3 linked regions of the Notamacropus eugenii genome follow. Each later gene encodes a partner of the first gene's protein in a complex. Links are inferred from orthologs where the notes say so. Each region holds a gene or a part of one and is shown on either strand. Other genes may lie near its edges.

The links.
Region 2: the proteins of INTS11 (region 1) and WDR73 are in contact, whole or in part, in a cryo-EM structure (PDB 8R22), measured with the Homo sapiens proteins. The link is inferred for Notamacropus eugenii from reciprocal best matches to the Homo sapiens genes INTS11 and WDR73. Residues at the interface, in NP_060341.2 of Homo sapiens: Tyr206, Thr208, Thr209, Ile210, Arg211, Asp212, Ser213, Arg215, Cys216, Arg217, Glu218, Arg219, Asp220, Leu222, Lys223, Lys224, His226, Phe255, Arg258, Met259, Leu364, Val384, Glu385, Tyr386, Ser388, Lys418, Lys419, Glu421, Phe422, Gln425; in NP_116245.2 of Homo sapiens: Asp5, Asp6, Leu8, Val9, Ser11, Leu12, Tyr15, Gln16, Phe18, Tyr19, Ala20, Phe21, Asp22, Leu23, Glu50, Leu52, Arg59, Leu68, Phe69, Pro70, Glu71, Arg72, Asp73, Phe74, Lys75, Val76, Gly79, Phe81, Asp116, Ser117.
Region 3: the proteins of INTS11 (region 1) and BRAT1 are in contact, whole or in part, in a cryo-EM structure (PDB 8UIB), measured with the Homo sapiens proteins. The link is inferred for Notamacropus eugenii from reciprocal best matches to the Homo sapiens genes INTS11 and BRAT1. Residues at the interface, in NP_060341.2 of Homo sapiens: Leu9, Val15, Gly16, Lys27, Met35, His36, Met37, Gly38, Phe39, Arg43, Asp47, Tyr50, Thr58, Asp59, Asp62, His70, Leu71, Asp72, His73, Asp87, Gly88, Gln97, Pro101, Ile102, Glu105, Arg108, Lys109, Val112, Asp113, Lys114; in NP_689956.2 of Homo sapiens: Asp25, Thr27, Cys28, Glu30, Lys31, Asp34, Pro117, Ser156, Ser157, Leu158, Phe159, Ser162, Lys358, Ser359, Cys366, Arg367, Arg424, Arg427, Thr465, Lys468, Lys469, Trp514, Glu515, Asp518, Ser519, Glu522, Tyr560, Ser564, Ser604, Glu605.

What each region holds. Positions count from the first base shown.
Region 1 is NC_092876.1:34,732,794-34,739,840, forward strand, and holds the start of INTS11 (integrator complex subunit 11), read right to left. Parts: upstream 4,708-7,047; 5' UTR 4,623-4,707; exon of another isoform or gene 4,474-4,622; intron 3,225-4,473; 5' UTR 3,164-3,224; coding exon 3,136-3,163; intron 1-3,135.
Region 2 is NC_092872.1:178,256,254-178,263,300, forward strand, and holds the start of WDR73 (WD repeat-containing protein 73), read left to right. Parts: upstream 1-3,529; 5' UTR 3,530-3,638; coding exon 3,639-3,679; intron 3,680-4,132; coding exon 4,133-4,200; intron 4,201-4,481; coding exon 4,482-4,567; intron 4,568-6,591; coding exon 6,592-6,680; intron 6,681-7,047. Other genes in the region: NMB (neuromedin-B), read left to right, coding at 2,102-2,137. UniProt on the Homo sapiens protein: Component of a multiprotein complex required for the assembly of the RNA endonuclease module of the integrator complex. Associates with INTS9 and INTS11 in the cytoplasm, stabilizing the INTS9-INTS11 heterodimer and blocking the active site of INTS11.
Region 3 is NC_092874.1:385,585,588-385,592,634, reverse strand, and holds the start of BRAT1 (BRCA1-associated ATM activator 1), read left to right. Parts: upstream 1-2,682; 5' UTR 2,683-2,985; intron 2,986-3,676; exon of another isoform or gene 3,677-3,831; intron 3,832-4,149; 5' UTR 4,150-4,166; coding exon 4,167-4,293; intron 4,294-4,694; coding exon 4,695-4,849; intron 4,850-7,047. UniProt on the Homo sapiens protein: Component of a multiprotein complex required for the assembly of the RNA endonuclease module of the integrator complex.

The sequences.
Region 1 (7,047 bases):
CCAAAAGGCAACCTCTACAAACAAGACAGTCTTCAAAAGTCACAAACTGAATTGTGTAAGCAAGGGCAGATAAGGGACGCATAGTTTCAGGTACAATCCTCATTTCCTGTTCTACAAAGTCCACTTTATTGGGTGTCAGCGAGGTTCTGAATTTTTAAAAAATTTTAAAAACAAACCAAGTGCTTGTCTTGTTCAAGATCTATGAGCTGATGGGCCAGTTCACGGGTTCTCTAGTCAACTGTGTCTCCGAATCAGAATCCAGACTGGAGACACTGGATTCTACATTTGTATGTTTTCTTCCTGTGCAGACAGCTCAGCCGAATGTCTGGGTGACTGTAAATCTCCTTTAGGAGGCTCTGCAACATTCTGGATGCAGTCAAGACAATGTCACCAGAAAAACCAGAGCACCTAGGGGGGTCTCACCATCTGGACAGGGCAGGTTGGGAAGGGCTTTAACAGGGAATTGCCAGAGTTCTGAATGAAGAGTGGAGTACGGAATGATCAGAGGCAGGGAGGCCAAAAAGAAGGTTACTGTAGTAGTCCAGGCAAAAGGTGAGGAGGGCCCAAAAAGGTGGTGGCCAAAGAGAAAGGGATGTGTACAAGAAATGGTGTTTAGACAGAAGAGACAAAGCCTGGCCATAGATCGGATAGTAGTGAGAGTGAGGACACCCCACTTGTGAGGTGAGGGGACTGGGAAAACAGCAATGGCTCCAACAGTAACAGCAAGTTCAAACGAGGGGAGAGATGGGGGGGAAGGAAATAAAACATATTTTGGACAGACAGAGCTTGAGATGTCTATGGGGTATTTGGTTCAAGATGTCCAAAAGGCAAGTTGGGGATGTGAGACTAGAGGTCAGACGAGTAGGAGGAAATGGGTGTGGAATTTTATCAAATATTATCAGATAGGGTCCCAGGGTGGTGGTAACTGGTTTTCCTTGTCACAGAAGAAGCTTCTTTGGGAACAGGGGAAGAAGAGGAGGGAATGAGCATTTCTGTAGTGCCTACTGTGTGCCAGGCCCTGTGCTAAGTGCTTTACAAATATCTCATTTGACCCTCACAATAACCCTGGCAGGTAGGTGCTGTTATCAACCCCATTTTACAGTTGAGGAAACTGAGGCACACAGAGGTTAAGTGACTTGTTCAGGGTCACCCAGCTACTAAGTATCTGAGGTCAGATATGAATTCAGGTCTTCCTGACTCCAGGCACAGTCGTCTAGCCACTGCACCACTATCTGCCTAAGGTATATGGAAATAACCTCAAAAGGTATCAATAATACTTTCTGAAGAGGAAAAAGGCATCGTAGTGTAAGGCTTCTGTGTGAACTACCAGTCTGTGGCCTCTCATTTTCCATCTTAAAACACGTTCTCCAAAATATTTTTCATTGTGCCCTGCTCTGCACACCTCTGCTTTAAAGCCCTTGACTGCTGATTCCCTTTGGAGGGGCTTTCTAAGTTCTCCTGAGAATGTACTCTCTTTCCCATCCTGTTCACTGCCAGATCCTCCACAGGGGGAATGCATATCAAAAGCACTGATGGAGCAAAGGATTAACTGCCCTTTGATGCTTCTGGTTGCCTTTGGCAGCTCCTTCTTTTGCCAGCTGTCACCCCAGGCCCAGTTCCAACTCTCACTTGTCTTCTGGTCTCACTGAGAGTGAGCAGGTGAAGACTGGCAAGGTTCCTTTCTTCCAGAACAATGTCCTCTCCCTCAATGGTCACAGGACAAGGTGTTTAAAACCACCACCAGCTAAGTGAATGACTACAGATAGTCTAACACTGTGACTTTGTCTGCCCCCTTTTCCGCCACTGTCACTAACACCACCAGATGCCAAAGGGGACCCCACAAGGCCAGGGGCTCCTGGACGTTTTCCTGCCAGACTGTGAGTTCTACCAGGGTCTCATCTGGACTCCATATCTCCCCCAGCACCTAAGCCAGATCTCAGATTCACAAATCTTCGGGAAAGGAAGAAGACTGCATGACTACTGATGAATGGAAACTGAGAAAAAGTCCAGAGCACAGCATCTTCCTATTCAAAGGCTGAAGACTCCATATTAGTAACATCTGGAGGGACCTAAGAGGCCAAAGACCTATAAGTATCAACTTTTAAGATGCTCAACAACCCAGAGAATCAGCCTAGCAACGTTTCTGTTTACAGGATTGTGTCTCAGAGAAGTCCCACGGTAGGTCTCCACTCTACACCAAAAACACCCCTGAACCTTTAAATTGCACATTCCAGGCCACTCTGGAAACTTGGTTGTGAGCACCCCCTGGTGGTAGGCTATGGGACCCAAACCATATCAACTCCTGTTACTCTGCATGGGGTCGCCTCTCCCAAAGACAGACTGTGATGCTGTTACTGAGGATCTGGACTATGCTCTTGCCTCCTCCTGAAAGAACAGGGAATGAGCTCCTACTTCATGATGAGTGACACATCCATTGCCCCCCACAAGCCCTCTGCTCCAGAGAAACCAGAACAGAACTTGCTACCTCCCTTCCCCCTATTCTCCAGCCCATCCCCCTGCTCTAGAACATAGTCCCCCATTCTCCTGACCTGATATAGCCTCCCCACCTTCTCAACAAATCCAGCCCACCCTTCAATTCCCAACTCACACCTTACTACCTCCTCTAGGAAGACTTCTCTGATTCTTCCGGCTCCCAACCATCCCTCTCTCTTTCAAATAATCTGTCCTAAAATGTTTGACCCCCAAAATAAATTCTCTTTCACTCTCCTACATACGTTTAGGCTAATTTCTCACAATACCAACTGTGTCTCTCCTGAGGGATGGAGAATTCCTTTTTACCATGAACCAAAGGAAAATATTCAGAAAGAGAACCTGCTGCCTATAACACTGCCCACTCAAGAAAAGCATCCATGGGACTCTGTGTAACTGTACCACACATGGCTCCTCCATCCCACCCCCCATCAGTGGGCATGGCAAAGTGCTCGGTTCATACTGATATGAATCATACTGATGGGAACAGAGCACAAAATAAAGAGCTAAGCTGTGATTGATGTATTCTCTTACAGAGAATATTACAGCTTTTAAGTTCATCACCATAACATTTTGTTGACCTGATGGTATTTTCACCAGAAAAACTTTTTTTTTTTTAAATCAAACTTGCTTCTTTTAACTTACCCAAGGGAGTGACTTTAATCTCTGGCATCTTGAGTGGCCAAGTTCTCAGTACTTCATCAGGCTAGATCCAAGACACCATAGAGCAGTACCTACAAAGCACGGGTTTTTGAGATCACACAGGTACCGTTGGTCTGGAAGTCATAATTTCTAAAAGGAAATGGGCCAACCCAGAAGGCTGTAACTTTTTACAGTGATTATGAATAGGTGGTGAAAAAGGGACACCACCATCCCTAAAACTGGGCAAGGTTTCCTCAGCTCTGGTTACTGGCTCTACGCCAAAGCAGTGGTGGTCTAAGTCTTACCCTACTGTGACACAACAGTATACTAGACAGAGGTCTCTGGGGGGGGAGAGCATGCTAGGAAACTAAGGTGATAATGACACTCTCACTGTCTTAATCTGGACTTGGGTCAGGAGGCCTGAGTTCTAGATTCTAAATCACATGACCCTTCTTCACCTGTAAAATGGGATCATCAAAATTGTACTGCACAGCTACCTTGGAGAATTTATAGAGGGAAGGAACCTTAGAAATTATCTAGCCCACACCCCTTCATTTTAGAGAAGGGGAAATTAAGGGCCGTGGGAGTTAAATAACTCACCCACAGTCACACAGATAAGCAGTAACAGAGCACAAGCCTTCTGAGTCTGGCATAGGCTGGACCAGATGACTTCTAGAGACCCTTCCAACTCTTAGAACCTAATTCCAAATCCAGTGTTCTTACCTATACATTACACTGCCTCTTTACATGGCTGTTGTAAGGGAAGCATTTTGTAAACTGTTGGAGCTACAAGTGTTTTTCTGCTTCCAAAATCAATTTGTAAAAAAATTGAATAGCCATCCCTTAGCCCAGTTGCTCCTGCCAGGCTGTGGCTTAGGAGTATCAGCTGCAAAAGCTACTTCCCAATCCTACATAAAGTAAGGTGGTATTATACAAAGCACAAGATTGGAGGCAAGGGGCCCAGGTGTGAATCTTGGCTCTGCTACTTAGCACTTGTGTGACTCCAGGCAAGTCGTTCTCTGAGCCAGGAGATGGGTCTCTAATCCCTGCGCTGACCCTGACCCCTGACCCCTGACCTGGAGCAAGTTCCACAATCTCTCGGGGACTCAGTTTCCCCTCTTGTAAAGTGGGGCAAGAAGACGAGGAGAGGCGAGCCCGTCTAAGGTCCCTTCTAGCCCCCGAAGGGCCTCCCCCTGGGCTCCCCTGCATCCCCACACCGTGAGCCCAGGCCGGCTCTGTCGGGAGACCCCAAGGCCGAGCGCGGGCTCCCCGTCCAGGAGGCGCCCCACCCCCAAACCCAGCCCTGCGGGGCAGCTGCTCGCCCGCGGTGACGTCACTCGCCCGCATCCCGGCGGACGCGCTCACGGCCGCCCACCCGAGGGGGGCCGGTCCTGAGCAGCAGGCCGCTGGGAGAAGCGGGCAGGTTGAAGAGGGAGACTCCCAGACTCCCTCGAAGGTCGGCAGGGCCCCCGCTGCTTCCCTCTCCCCACCTCAGCCCTCCACGAGGCAAGCCGCGCAGGCTTCCGTACTCCCAGCCAGTCCCGAGGCACTGCGCCTGCGCGGGGGGCGGGGCCAGCGGCGAGGGCCGGAAGGCACCCCGCAGGCGCAACCCCGGCAGCCTATGAGCGGCCTTCCTGCGCCCGGGACCTGCCCTCCTGGGCCGGCCCTCCCTGCCGGCCTTCCATTGGATTCTGTCCCAGTCAATCAAGCAGGGGCCAGGACTGGGGGGCGGGTCTTGGCTGTGATTGGAGGGGACTGAAGACAGGCCCCCAAGAATCTGCATTCAATGGTAACGCCGGTGAGTAAGGTGCAGGTGAGGGCGAAGGGGTGGGCCCGGGGGGGCCGGGGATCGGGGAGCTGTAAACGGACGTCGGGGGTGCTGGGGCGTGGGATGGGGGCGGTGGGGTCAAGGGTCATGAGTACGCCCTGGGGTCCCCCGGCGCTGCGGGGGAGGGGACCCCGGTGTCCGGGTCACGGTCCGGGGGCACCCGGGGCTCGGGTCCTGCCCTGACCGCCCCCCCCCCCCCCGCCTCACTCTCTGCGGGACCTCCGGGCCTCAGTTTCCCCATCTGTCAAATAGAGCGGGTGGGACTCCTCCTTTCCTGACTTTGAAATCGAAGGGCATAGACTTTAATCTTGAGAACTGCATTTAAATTGTACTTATGCTGAATATATATTGTATATAACCTATGTATGTACCGTATATACAGTATATATGTATGTACTATATATGTGTAGATGTATTCTGTGTATGCTGATATGCCTGTATGGTTCCTTCTGTAATGTGGGTATTTTATACACAGGAGGAAGGGGTCCGTGGGCCTGATTTTCTGCTATTCTTGTGTTTTCTTTTCAAGGATGTGAGTCCAGGACCCAAAGGCAGTGACAGAAGAACCAGGAGTAAGACCCTGAGATCCCCTCCCCTTTGACCTTCCCCATCTGACCCAGGTATGTATGGCACTGCTGTATCGCTGTGGTTGGGTTGGATTCCTTCCGTGGGGGGGACAGGGGGACTTTCTCCAGGTTGCTCTGTGCTGAGTCAGACTCTGAAATTTATTTTTGCCTGTGGTAAGTGTTCAATAGACACGCTAGATGAGTGGAATGGGAGCCGGGGCCAGCATGCTGAACCCCGGACCGCTGCCGTCTAAGAGCCTTCGGTTCTGCCAAAAGTAGAACTCCTTGGAGAGTGTTGAGACTCTTTGTTTCTTTGGCTGCTCTTACTCAATCCCTCCCCGCCCCCTTCCTTCTTCCTGCTCCAATCTTCATCTCTGACCTTGAAGCTCTGATAAATAGTTTATGGCAGAGTATAAACATAGCAGAGTCAGAGTGATGTCTGATGGGAGTACTGGCCTTACTTTGAGAAGTTGAGCAGGCCCATCCATCCTCAGTTTGTAACCTCAGCTGTTCAGCCTGCTCAAAACAGTTTAGTTTCCTCTTTTCTCAGTATTATATAGCAGACTGTGGGGCCCAAAATGATTAAAAAGTCCTAACAGCAATTTCCTGCTTGCTGCTGGTTTCATTCTGTGTCATGAGAAAGCACAGGGCTATTTAAACAACAAATTGATATGTCGTTGACCGATAGACCATCTGAGCTGGAAGAGACTTTAGTTAATAGAATGTCAGAGTTGGAAGTTACCTTAACGGAACATCTCATGCCACTCTTTCACTTTACAAATAAGGAAACTGAGATCCAGAGGGAGGAAGCAATCAACAACTAAGAACAAATGAGGTATCCTAACTCCTAGAATCATGATCTTCCATTGGCCACCCTCAGTCGTCTTCAAATCCTGGGGTCCTCAACTCTTCAATCCCCATTCCTAAATCTGATCCCATTGTTGATTTTAATCATTCGGGCAGCCATTGAGGGTCATACTAAGTGCCAGCTCTGGGTTCAGGACCACACTGGGTGCACAGGGGCATACAAAAATATAAGATGCCATCTTCCTTTAAAGAGCCCCTAGTCTGGGGACATGAGAGCCACCCACAGCCAACAACCTGGAATGTTGTAAGCAGATCTTAGATCTGTGGAAGGCTTACAGCCATAGCATGGATGGTAGCCTCCCTCCTCTCCTTCCTGCCTTCACTCATCTGAATAATTCTATTCTGTCTCCTGCTTTGCCTGGGAAATCGGCTTGGGGTCCAGGATGGAAATATGGGACAGATAAAGAATCCAGGGCCTGGGAGATTCCAGGGTAGAACCCACCTTCCAAGTTAGCCTCTCCCATCTCAAACCTGTCCAGTCACTGACTACTGGCAGATGTGTAGACTCAGTGAGTAGGCTGTGTTTGCCAAGGTTTCTTGGGAGCCCAACTCTGCTAGAATAGGGCATTTCTATCCTGCAGCAACTTGGGTGAGTAGGAGCAAGTGTTAAGAAAGACACCCCATTACATCAGGTCTGTCATCCCAGCTGGTCCT
Region 2 (7,047 bases), on another chromosome or scaffold:
TGACCCTAGGTCCTTTGATGCAAATCCAATGATCTTTCTGTTACATCATTTTGCCTTTCTAAAATTGTATCTATTGTGTTAGAAAGCCTGTTATCTACAATGAAAGCTAGAGGTAGTTCCTAATGCCACTTAAGCCTGTGACATGTAGCCAATTTTAATATTAGCCTACATAAGGTATAATTGGGAAGGTTACATTTGCTTCTTCTTTTGCTACCAAAAATAACCACATTAATTCTAAACAAATATCAATACTTTTTTGGAGTATTTACTCCAATATTTCCATTCATCAATACAAACCATTTTTAAATTCAACTCAACAAGTATTTATCAGGTATTTGCTGGGTGCTGGGTGTTGGGGATACAATGATAAAATTAACCAGCCTTTCCCCTCAAACAGCTTATGTTCCTTGGCACACATTCAATTTCTTTTCAAATCTACAATTAATTATTAAGGACCTACTATGTGTAAAGTACTGTGCTAGGCATTGTGAGGAATATAAAGGTGAATTAGACACTGCCTCCACCTTCCCTAGGTCATCAGATCATAGGCTGCTATAACTAGAAAGAGCTATAGGGATCATCTGTTCCAACTCCTTGATTTGCAGATGAGGAAACTGAGACTCAGAATGTTTAGGTGACTTGCTTGAGATCACACAATGAGTTAGTGGCAGAGGCAAGATTGGAACCTTTGATTGTATATGAAATTCTCAGCCCTTAACTTCCCATTGACCCTATTACAACAGCCATATCTATACTGGGCCTGTGCTTCTTGAGGTTTTGTGCTTTGGAGAGTAGGTGAGGAGAATAACATTATCCTTTGGCCAGGCAAATCACTGCTATGTTGTTTCTCTCTAATCCAATCCAACAATAATTTATCAAGTACCTATTATGTACAAGATACTGTGTTTGGATGCTGGGGAAACAAAGATTATACAGTTCCTGCCCTCAAGGTATTTACATTCTGTTGGAGAGCAGTAAGTTAATTTTCTACCTTTTGTAGCCATACTACATCTCCATAGCAGTTGCTTCCCAGGATGATGACTGAGGGCACTGGGCTGGAAGCAGGTCTGGTGGTTTATGGGGCAATTCCCAAGCTCCTTGGGTTTAGGGTCCTGGGTTGTCTCCATCTGTGTGACCGTAAGGGAACCCCTAAGGCCTAAGGGGAGATAGACAGTGATTAAGGTGAGGAGTATGTGGTTTGATTTGCCTGGCATATACTGCCTCCTCTCTTGCCCTCAAAGTGACTTGCTGTTTCAGCTTAGCTGGCCCATCTGTCCTGTCTATGAACATTGAAACATCTGAATCCAGTGTTCTTTCCATCAGCTCACATTGCCTTTCATTTAATTGCTTCTCCCTCAATTTTCTCCCCATTGGTGCTCTCTCTCTCTCTCTCTCTCTCTTTCTCTCTCTCTCTCTCTCTCTCTTTCCAAAATGCCTTCATGGGGAGTGGGGGAGCAGAGGCTCAGGTTTATTTTGGATGTGCAGGGTAACATTATTGTACTGCATGCCATGCTCTATGGCATGAATGGTCCACAGACTATCTACAGCCTAGGTCCATCCTTCTATAGAAGATTGGATAGAGATTAGCTGTCTGTTCTTCTTAATCATTCCTTTTGCTCACTTCACAAGAGCAGGGAGAGAAACATAGCACTCAACTCCTCTCCAGTCTGTAGAAATGAGAATTCTGGATAAAACTAAGAAGTCTTCAAGAAGAAAGTTCCCAGCAAAGTGGTCCCATCTCTTTCCTGTATCTCCTTCCAAGGCTCCAAGGCTCTAGCTCAGGAGTGTGGAACCGTCAGCCTCAAGGCCACATGTGGCTCTCTAGGTTCTCAAGGGAGGCCTGTTGACCCCACATTTTGCAGAACAAATTCTTTTATCAAGGGGATTTATTCTGTGAAGTTTGGATTCAGTCAAAGGGCCTCACTTGAGGACCTAGAGGGCCACATGTGATTCCCCACCCCTGCCTAGCCTCTTTACTTTGAGGGACACAATTCTCTCCTACAGAGTTATTTATCTAGCCCCATCACCTCCTGATGACTGACAGGTGGGACTGGTAGAGTGCTCCAAGGCACAATTCTTGATATCATTTTCCTCTTCTTAGGACCTATGGATGCTGGTTCAGCAGCTGGAGAAGTAGTTAAGTCATCAGAGGCTATTGCTTGGACTGCACAGACCATGCAGCTGTCTGGAGTTCAGAGAATGGCCATCTGGGGCTACTGCCACAGTCTGATGAAGAGTAATTTCTGTCCTTTGTTGTTGCCACATTGTTACTATAATCTTTGACTGAGGTCACTCACTATTATCACTGTTCTTTAAGACACAAATGATGTCTCTTCCGTATATTTTTTTCCTGCATCCTTCCTGAGATTGTGAATAAAACCTTATTCTTTGCACAAAATGTGTGGGCCTCTCCTTCTAGCCATTCCTGTGAGAATCTCACCAACGGGGTGAGGAAGAGAGGGTGTGAGATAAGAAAAGGTCGGCTCCGAATGAGGCCATGGCTTTTTAAAGACAAACTGACTTCCTACTTCTTCATCCTCACAACTATGGCTTGTTGGGAAACTGTCTTTGACCCTCCCCAGCTAGGACATTCTCTGTGGAAGAATGCTGCTCTCTTGTGCCCTATGGGCTCCATGGCAACCAGAGTGGTCATGATGAGGAATGAAGGGAGGTGTCAGTCAGTCAGCTCTGTACCAAGCACCTTGCTATGCTCCAATACACTCCATCCTACCCTTGTAGGACCTTAGTGGCCAGTACACTCTTCCCTCAGCCATCAGGCTTGGTCTGCATAGACAGATAGGTCCTCAGAAAAGTAAAGATTGTGGTATAGGAGAAGGAACATCCCTAGGGCAGGAGAGGAAGAGTTTTGGTCCTCTGGTCTCCTGGCACCTAGTGTCAGCATAAAATTGGAAAATGAAAGGGCAAACCTCTCCAGTGTCTTTGCCAAGAGAACTCCATGGACAGTGGCTCCACAGGGTCATAAAGAGTTGGACGTGACTGGACAGCAAAGAAGGAATGCCCCAGTGGGAGTCGATGGGCTAGACTTTTCATCCTAACTTTGCCTCAAATTGTGTGAAGGTGAGCAAGTCATTTCCCCTCACTGACTGTGTGCGCGCGCGCACACACACACACAGAGACACATATATTCCTCCTCCCTGAGCCTCAGTTTCCCCACCTGCAAAATAAGAGGGTTGGACCAGGTGAACTCTGAAGTCCCTCTAACATTCCAAGATTTTATGAGTCTTAGAACAGAGGCAAAGCGATCCAACCCTAAATGTGGAACCAAGAGCGCCAAAGGCTCTGCCACCTTCCAAATCTGTGACCTCAGTGGAGATGGCGTTGCACCACTAGGTGACCTCTAAATGCTCTAAATGCTCAGACTTGGCGGTCCAATGAGGGCCGGGCTCGCCCCCTCTCCTCCCCCTCCGGGGGAGGGCCCCCTGGAGGCCACACCCATTGGCCTCCCGGACCTCGCCTCCTCTTCCCACGTGGGCGTCGCTCCCGTTCACCACGCCCTGGGGCGCGGGGCCCGGGGCCGAGGGAGGCCCCGCCCACGCCCTGACGTCTCCCCTGCGCCAGCGGCGTGCCCGTGTGCGTGCCCGTGTGCGTGCCGGGAGCTGGCGGAGGCTGCTGGCGGCATGGAGGAGGCTGCAGACTGGCTCGTGGACTCTCTGCGCTTGTAAGCCGGGCCGGGCAGCGGGCGGAGCGGGGCGGGAGGGTAGGCCCGCGGCGTCCGGGGGCCGGCCGAGAGGCCCCAGGGGAGTCCGGCGGGAGCGGGCGGACTCCGGCCGCCTTCCCTCCGCGTGCGCCGACAGGCCCGGCAGCCCCGGCCTCGCGTCCGTGATCCGACCCCTCCCCCAGTCACCGCTCCCAGTCTCCACCTCCCCATCTGCCCGGTGGCCCTGAAATGGAACGTGGGCGCTGGTGACGGGAGGTTAGCGACGGCGCGAGGGCGCAAAGCGCACAGTGACCCCGGAAACCCCGTGGTTCGTGCTTATTCATACGGGAGGTTCGTAAGCGCCCCCCAAGCGGCCCAGAGGGCCTTGTTGGGCCCGGAGCTGAGAGAGGGCAGGCGGCGCGTGAGCGCGCCCAGCTCGCCCGACGGCCTCGTGCTCTGTTTGTTTCCACGTAGGTACCGAGATCTCCATGCGTTTGAGCTGCCGGGCCCCACCCGAGTCCTGGAGTGGACTGATAACCAAGGTGATCCTACCCCCAGGGACCCTCCCAAAGAACCCGGTGGGTGCTGTTGCCAGCTGGGACAGAGGCTCTGCAGACCCGGTTCCCAGGTCGTTGGCACGTCCCAGAAGCAGTTTCATGCCACGCTTTTATGACAGTGGTGTTTTCTGGCTGCTGTGTTTCTTGCTGGGTAACGTTAGGATGCAGTGGCTGCCCCTGCTCAGAAGTTTTAGGGTGTGGAGGTTGTTTCTGTGTTTAACTTTGGTCTAAAAGATATGTTTGCTGACATTCTTTGTTCCTTCTAGGAGTCTATGTTGCGGGCTGTGAAAGTCAGAAAAGAAATGAAGTGCTGCATCTTCTTTTACCCCCCAAACTCTGTGCTGAAAACCAGGTATGTTGGAAGTCAAACTGCTCCTTCATCTCCAAATGATTGTAGAAGTAGAAGGCAGCCTTTAGGGCCTGAATGAATGAAAAAGTCTTTATTAAGTGATTTATTGTGTGTCCTGGGCACTCTGCTAAATGCTAATATAAAAAGCTTGATGAGTCTCTGCTGTTAAGTAGCTTACATTCTAATTGGGGAAGACAACACTTAATATAGGGGAGAGATATTTTGGTCTGGGAAATTGAAAGGATGATGAATGGAGCTATAGGGAATTAATTGAAAGTCTTTACAAGAGCTTGAAGTAGAAGGTGGGAAGGTGGGAAAGAAGGGTCATAAAGCATGAAGATATTGGAGAGTCAGGGTTGGGTCCAGCCTAGAGATAAGGTTCTCTCTCTACTTAGGAGCCAAAGGCTCTAGGGTGAAAATTGGAGCAAGGAGGCAGGAAATGAATATGGATGTGAGTAGGGATGGTCATTAAGTGTATCTGAAGTCCTGGGGCATATCTATTCCCAGATTCCATCTATCCTGTCCTAGATGTCCATTCATCATCCCAGTCTAGGCCTAATAATGAAATCCTTCCTAACTGGACCTGCAGACCCAGATTTTCTTCCTCATTGCATTCTCACATATCTCTTGTTCCCATCTTGGAAGAACCCACCTTGTGGGGAGAATGGGGTATAACTGTGTTTTTATCCAGTTAACCAGTTGCTTTCCCTCTAACTTTGGGAAATACAGAGTTAGGGACTCAAGGATAGTACTGATGAGTGTATATTTTACCTTTTCAGTAATAGGGAAGGCAACTCTAATTCTAGACAACTGGAACAAGCAGCAGCAACACTCTGAAATGATTAGTCTCATCCATACATTCTGTGATCCAATGACAGTGACCATACTGCTATTTCTTATATGTGACTCTCCATCCCCTGGTTCTGTGCCTTTTTACTACCTGTCCCCTATGCCTGGAATGTTCCCCCTCTCTATTTCCAATTTTGGGGTTCCTTCATGATTCAGCTTAAACCCCATCTTCTTTTGCAAGATTTTCTTTCTTATTACTCCTTTGTCCCTTCTCCTTCCCACTCAGTGTTAATGTATTCCCTCTGAAATTACATCTCTCTTCTCCCATCTCTCTCTGTCTGTCTCCACTATCTGTTTCCCTATCTCTTTCTCTATAGACAGACAGATAGATAGATCTTGTATGTACATACTTGTTTGCACGTTGGGTCCCACATTAGAATGTGAGTTCTTTGAGGTCAGAGACTGTACTTTTCAGTTTCTATTGATTGATTCCCAAGTAACAGATCACATTATGGATCGTCCCCAAATCTTCCAGCCTAGGTTGGGTTGTGAGCTTTTATGTTGATATGGATAAGGTAGAGCTGGTTATAGCTTGCCTATAAGTACCATTTTTCTGTGATAACAGCAAGTAGCTCACTAATTCTTCATGGCTATCAAGAGAGGGATTTGGAATATAACGTTCATACTGTAGCAGAAAGGGCTAGGGAAAAGATTTAGTTGGATGTGAAACAAAGAACTCTCTTGATGTGTTCTTTTTCGAGGACAATGGAGGCAAGCAGTACAAATTACTGTGTACTTGAGACCTTGGAGAAAGTTTTTGTACTAATTAGCTATTTACTCTCACCTGGGCAACTCTCTTAGCTCTCTTTGACTTCTGAAATCCTGAGCTGGGTTCTATTTCTCAATGTGTGATGAGGTCACAAAATCAGGCCTTGCCCCCCTGGGTTCCCTGACCCTTAACTCCTCTAGCTGTCTTTATCTATTATACTGACCACCTTCTAGCCATAACCCTCCCCACTTCTAACTTTTTATTGAGTGTCTTAATCTGATACATAAGGGTTTGCAGAAACTTCTGGTATGACATCTTGGGGAAAAGGCAGGTAGTAAAGTAGCAGTAATCTTTCTCCAGATATGCACCTTCTCCTTATTTGTGTGAACTTATTGATGTCATGGAACTCATCTGTAAGGAGCATCCAAAAGTTAGGGAGTAGTTAATTGACTTTTTATTTGTGTTTTAGGGCTTATGTCCCGAAAGAGATTTCAGGATGAAACATGGGGGATTTTCAGACAAGCCTGTCTACAACCTGAAGCATATTCCAGAGACCAGGTATAAATCAGCTCTGTGCCCCTGATAATTCTTTTAAAAGTGGTTTATTGGTTCATTTTGGTTTTTTATATCAGTCATTTCTAGATATGACCCTATCCTTGAAACAAACAAAACAAAACAAAAAGCCAGTTAAGCAAAACCACCTGGCACTTTTGACAACATATACAACATTCAGAGCTTATAATTCCCCACCTCTGTACCCAAAGAAGGGAAGGGACAGGGGGTAACAGCATGATTCTTGTCAGAGTAGAGCTTGAAGAAATGATGGGATGTCTGTGTACCTCCCCTCTCTCTTTTGTTACTCCTTTCCCTATGCACCCCCAGAACAGTAGAAAACCAGGACCATTGATAAAAACTAGAGCCTTAG
Region 3 (7,047 bases), on another chromosome or scaffold:
CAAGTAGAAGCGATCAGACAAGGTCACCAACACACAAGGAGTGTGGAGTACCCAGGAGGACGATATTGTCAACAGTGTCAGAGAGTTGAGAGGTCACTAAACCCAATCAGTTGAATTAGCCTAGTTAACCTCAAAGCCCTTTCCTTCTAGTAAAAATAGTCTGAGCGTGAAGGTGGAGCAATAGCACCACCCAGTGGCCATTTTCCTATGATGTTATAATAATTTAGTTTCAGATTTTTCTCTTGAGTTTATTGAGCATTTGCAATTAAATTCAACAATTCAACAAACATTTAGGTTATGTGACTTCTAAAAGCAAGGCATTTTGATAGGTGTTGGGGATGAAGGCACGAAAATAACATAGTCTCTGCCTTCAAAAAGTTTTCGTTCTATTTAGGATATGCCAGAGGACTATAGATTTAGGGTTGGAAAGAAATCATCTAGTTTAACCCCTCATTTTACATGAGGAAAGTGAGGACCCAGAAAAGTTAATCAATTTCCCAAAGGTCACCCAGATTACAAATGATTCAGGATCTGGACTCTGGTTCTTGGGCTTCAAATTCCACAGTGTCTTTACTAGCTAGCACCATATCTGCTTTTTATAAATTGCAGAAAACATGTTGATGTGCATTGGTAAAAGGATTTCCTCACCTGGTAAAATCCCTGCACAATCAAAAAATGGGTCTGATCCCTATTCCTTTCGAGATTTACATAACATTTTAAAAAATACTTTTCTATCCATACCCCAGAGTTGAACGATAATATTACTGTGATGACTTAGTAGCTTTGTAGATCATTATGTCACATTAAAATACAAAGATCCACAAACAAGCAGACAGTTATAAAAATTAGGTGTGATCTTCCTAGAGGACAAGATGGAGAGATAATGTTATGGAATCAGTGAACATAAGCTTTAACAGATTTTTGGGAGATAGAGGAGGATAGAAGGGTCTGTTCATGGAGTCAAGAAGAGTGAGACACAACTGAACAAGTCTCCTCAAATCATATTTCAGAGTGATCTATTTAGTACAAGTCATTACATTTCCATTAAGTTATGAAGGCACAGCCAGTGCAAGCAGACTTAAACCCATTCAACTACTGGGCTGAAAAAAATACTTTGGTTGATTCTCCAGAAGGATTTCTTTTTTTCAAATAAATATTGATCTCAATGAACAGTTCTGAAAATTTCCACAGCTGCAGTCTAATATGTGATAAAAAAAAAAGACTTCATAAGAACTAAACCGTGAAGCAATGAATAAAAGCACTGTCTTCATAAATCAGATGAGGGAGGAAGAGAAACAGGTATTATGATTATTTTACAGGTGAGAAAACTGAGGTTAAGTGGATTACTCATGATCACCTAAGTGTTGCAGTCGAGATTCCGATAAATCTACTGCCTTCAAGACTAAGACATCTGTGCTCAGCCCTGTTTAATATTTTTTTATCAATGAATTTAAAGACATAGAAGACATGAGATGCTCATCAAATCTGCAGCTGATCTCAAACAAGAAGGGATACCTAATACACTGGATTACAGAGCCACAACCCCAAAGGATTTTGCCAGACTAGAACTAGGATGAATCCAATAAAAATGAAACTCATTAAGGATGAATGTAAAGTCTTACACTTGTGTACAAAAAAAAAGCCAGATTTATAAGTATAAGATGGAAAGGACATGGTTAGATAGCAGTTCTGAAAAAGATGTGGCGGCTCCAGTGGATTCCTAGCTCAATATAAGTTATCAAGGTGCTAATCTGAAACTACATGAAGAGGCACATAGCTTCTAGGAATAGGGAGGGGACAGTTGCATTTGTGTCCTCTCTTTCCTAATCAGACATTATTTGCAGTATTGCATTCAGTACTGAATACTATGGTTTAAGAAGGACGTTCAGTTGGACAGAGAACTTGCATTCTGATCCCTCTCTGTCACATACTTGTTGTGTGACCTAGGGCAAGTCGTTTCAATTTTGGGTGGGCCTCAGCTGTCTCATCTATAAAATGGAGGAGTTGAATTAGATGGTGCATGAGCTCCAAATTCCTTCCAACTCTAAATCTATGATCTTAGGAGGATCAGTTGAAGGCCTGGGGATGTTTACCCTGGAGAAGAAGAAGAGGGCGGGACATATTAGCTACTGCTTAGGTTTATGAAGGGCTGCCTAATGTGGAAGGCAGAAGTGATGCTCTTTGTGAGAGAGATCAGACTTGCTGTGTCTGGCCCCAAAGGTCAGAATGGAGGGAAGTTTCAGAGGCTTGATGTCAGAAGAAATTTCCCAACAATTGGCTCTTTCTACAAGTGGAATAGGCCCTCCCTCCCCCTCCCCCCAACTTATAGGACCCCTATCCTTGGAGGTCTTTCAGCAGAAGTGATACTGGGCACAGCGTTCCTGTATGGGGTAGACCAGAAGACCCCAACTCGCAAACTCCCGCAAATCTGTGCCAGTAGGCCCAACACCCTTTCCACTACACCACAAAAAACAACTGCCTGGCTCATTTTTATTTCTGATAGGGCGTTAGATTCTCTCCTCTCTAAGGTCCCTTACAGCTTTAAATGGTATGACCGCTGAACTTTGCCCGGTTCTTCCCCTTCACAATTGAAGGATTCCGTTTTTCACATGCTTTCCTAGACAGACAAAGCCCCGCCCCTTTACGTGACCCCGCCCACTTCCTAAGACGTCGTCCCGCCTACTGCGCGCAGCCTCGGCATCGGCACCAACTATTAAGTGCGCAAACAGGGGAATCTGGTGAAACGCCTCTCTTTTTGTGTGCCATTTTGCAGAACTCTGAACAGGATCAGTTCTACCAGAAAGATGGAAGAGATTTTTTCACGAGCTATTCCTTTAAAATCTGGATGCGTTTGCTCAAGGACGAAGTTTCTTTCTGCCCCTATCTCCCCCCCGCCGCTCTCTGAGGTGGTCTGAGCCGGAGGACCGAGCGCGAGGGAAGGGGCGGGGCGAGGCGGCGCCGACGGAGCGGAGCGTAGCCGAGCTGGTGAGGGTCTCGGGGAGGGGGGGCTCAGCTCTCGGAAGGCCGGGTGGCGCTTCCCGCTCCCCATTCTATCTTCTCACCTTCTCGGGAGCGGTGGGGTGGGGGGAGCCCGTCTAGGAGCAGCTCTGTGGGGCCTCATCCCTGTGCGGGATGGGGGGGGGGGGTCTCTCCCAACCCCCCACTAGGCGAGGCAGCGATCGGGAGGAGCCCTGCTCGAGGGCGGCTCGATCTCGGGGTGGCCTCCAACCTGGCCCGCCCCCCTGCTATGCCCCCCCGAGCTTGAGACCGTCGCCCCCTCCCCTCCCCCTATTCGGAGACCTCTTTAAGACCTGGGTGGGTCTCGTGCTCGAGGCCAAACGGGCCATCGGAACCCCAGCCGCAGTGTGCCCCTGGCCCTTTCGCACGCTTGACCCTGATACGTGCCCCCTACACATCCCCCTGAAACGGGGCGCCCAGATAGACCCCCACGAAACCTGCTGCTTAACGAGGGGGGGAGATAGTCTAGGGGCCTCCCTGTAACCTTCACTTAACTGCCCAGAGCCTCAGTTTCCCTGTCTTTAAAATGAAGGGATAGACCACGAGCGTGTGAGTTTTCTTCCCACCCCTGCCGGGGATCCGGGACCCCCTGAAACACACAGCTTGAAATCAGCTTCTTGTTTCCTCCCCACACTTCCGCCTCCTTCCTCCAAAAAAAGGAAAATAAACACGGGACCAGAGGAAGGACTACAGCCCTTACAGAGCCAGCCAAGGAGGTCTCCGTGCCCTCCCCCAGCTCGGCCCGGGATCTCTTCTGGATCTCACTTTTGTGCGATCCTGAGGAACGACCTGTTTAGGATTTCGAACCAGCAGGTATTTATTTAAGAGTCTCCCGTGGGCCATGCACTGTGCCAGGCCCTCAGGACGCAAAGACCACGGCTGGCCAGCCCTGCTCTACTAGCGAAGGGGGCAAGGTTCACACCCCCAGGGCTCTGGCCAGGGACTGGTTAATGCCTCTGGCTCCTTCCCCAATCTGGATTACTTGAAGAAATCAGAGATGAGGTCATTCCAGCCAAGTATACCAAACCCTGTCACTGGATGGGAACCACCAGCACCTGGGTTCCTGCTGTGACTGCACTCGGCCTTGAATATTGGGTCTAAGTGGTGTTTTTTTTCACATTTCATTACCAGGACCCACTGGATTCACTATGGACATTGAATGTTCGCGGCTCCTACCTTCTGTCTGTGCAGTTTTGGTAGACCCAAAGCAGTTTGTAGCTGATGATACCTGTTTGGAAAAACTACTAGACTGGTTTAAGACAGTAACTGAAGCAGGTAATTGTGGTAGTGTTTGCTCCCTGTTTACCCATAGGCTGGTGGATGTTTTTAGAGAATTATGACATGGTACATGATGACTCAACAGTGCTCCACATGTCTAAATAAATGGATGTGCTGCCCACCATACTTTACAACAGGTTCTAAGAGAAAGAAGACAAGTTGGATTATGGGGGAGTTATTAGGGTGGTTTGTATTTTAAATTCTAATTTTAATTAAGGTTTGAGAGAATCTTCAGATTATGGTAGATGAGTGTTATGAATATGGATAGGCTCTTTAGAAGGGCAAGGATGAAAACTTCTTGAGGGAAATGGGTACCTTGATACCAGAAAGGGATACAGAATGGTTTCCCGACAGGTGACGGAAGAATCATCCTTTTTTGATGCTTGTGTATTCCACAGAATCTAGTCTGCTGGTATTACAGGAGAATCCTTGCCTGACAGAACTGCTCTTTCATGTGCTGAAGCTACAGGATGTGAATTCCAATATCCTTTCCTTTGCTCTACGTCTTGCAGGAATATTTGCAGCCCACGAAAACAGCTTTCAGTATCTCCAGGTGAGTTTAGGGGTGACTTCTTGGATGCTGTAGCTTGTAAAATTAGACTTGGCTGATAGGTTGTTGTAGTTATATGAGGTTTTACTAACATGCATACATATACATACACGTGTACCTTATACTTGTATATTATATGTACACACTTGACTGAATCCATTCTCTCATTTGGATGGGTACATCTTCCATTGATACAGATTTCAATCCTTCTATGTCTTTTCACTCTATGTAATTCTTGTGCATATCTTTTTGTTTCTCTGTAAATTCTCCAGCAGAGATCCGCTAAAACCACTGGTGGCCCGCCTCTAGTTTTTATATTTCTTAAATTGACTAAAGCAGTGTTCTGGCCTTTCACTTAAGATATGTGCCTTCATATATTTTCTGATCTGCTACTTGACTAAAGAAGCAGGATGTAGTTTTATAGCTTACAACTGTACTCAGACTTTTGGGACACCCTGAAGATGCATATACACACAAGACACATGCATATGTGCACTCTTGTACATATGCATGCATACATATACAATTCAAAGAAGTCTTTATTTGTAACTATTTTTATGTATCTTTTATATTAGAGTGAGATTTTGTGTGAAACTTAGTGCCATAGCTGGGTTCAGTATAAATTGTCTTAGAGGTATGGTTTAAAACTTGCATTCTTCAAAAGTTAATTGATTCTGTTTTGTATAAAACTTGTTGTGTGGTTAGAGGGTCAGCTTTGAAGCCAGGAAGACTTGAGGAACTTATCTGCATCAAGTCCTGTCTTTGACTCATACTTAATACATGACTCTGGGAAAGTTAAAACTCAGATGAGGTGCCAGCCTGCATTAGTAGAGGGAGTTTTCTCTTTGGGAATTCAGTATTCCAATGAAATTATAACTTGGTCCCTATTCCTATGTCCAGAGAATGGCAAGGTCATTAGAGATTGGTTTATAGGTAACTGCACTGGCATTCACAAAATATTTTAAGAATAAGAGAAAGCCTTCCAGTGCTTTATATAGATACTTTATAAATAATTTACAAAAAGACATTACTAAAATTTGGTTCCTAGACCTACCTAGAGGTAGATCAGGAAAATGCTATGAAGATTTTTATTGAAGCTCCTTCCTAGTAAAAAATAGAGAGATGGAAGCTCGATGGTGGTACAGACCAGTGGGTGGATTTGGACTTGGATACATGTCTGTACCCAAAAAGGAGTCATCATTGGTTCCATATCAACATGGAGGGAGTTCTCCAGTGGAGTGTACTGGAAACCTATGTGCTATTTAACGTTCTTGCCAGTGAATTAGATAAAAGCATAGGTGACATGTGTATCATGCAAGTTAATAACTAGCAAGCCTGGAATTAAAACAGAAAAACAAAAAATAAACCTAAAGCCTTTTCCCCTAAAGCACACTTCCGCCATGGCCTAGCAGTCCTGCTGTGTCCATTCACAGAATCACGGCCTTGGGAGGGATTCAGAGCCTATTTAATCTAAGCTATAACTGAACAAGAGCTCCCTCTACATCAAAAACAACAAAGTTTAAGATGACACAAAGCTGGGAGAGATGGCTAATAGTAGATGACCGAGTCAGGATTTAAAAATATTTTAACAGGCCAGAATAGTGGGTCATATCAGATGGGATGAAATATAGAAATACATGGTAAAGTCTTACCCTGGGATTCAGAAAGTCATCTTCATCAGCATAAGGTTGAGAAGTGGTGGTTAGATAGCAGTTCATTTGAAAAGAGTTTTGGCATTTTTAGTGGATTGCAAGATCTGTATAAATCAGTAATGGTATATGGCAGCCAAGGAATTTAATAAGTCTTAGACTGTATTAAGAGACAAAGTATCCTGGACTAGGGAGATAGTGAACTCTGGGTTAGACCACATCTATAATATTGTCTTAAATTGTGGGGGCCACATGGTAGGAAGGACACCCAAAAGTTAGAGATTGATGAGAGTGAACCATTCAGGAGAGTGAAGGGCTTTGAGATATGCCACATGAGAGTCAGTTAAAAAGACTAATGATGTTTAATTTGGAGATGAGAAGGCTTGAGGGGCCTATATGATAGCTCTGTCCAAGTATTTGAAGGACTGGCATATATAAGAGGGATTAGACTTTGTGGCCCTAGATGGTAGAACTAGAAGCAAAGGATGAATACTTCAGAGAGACATAAAAATTTAAACTTGATGATAAAGTAAAACTTCTTCAGTTACCCAA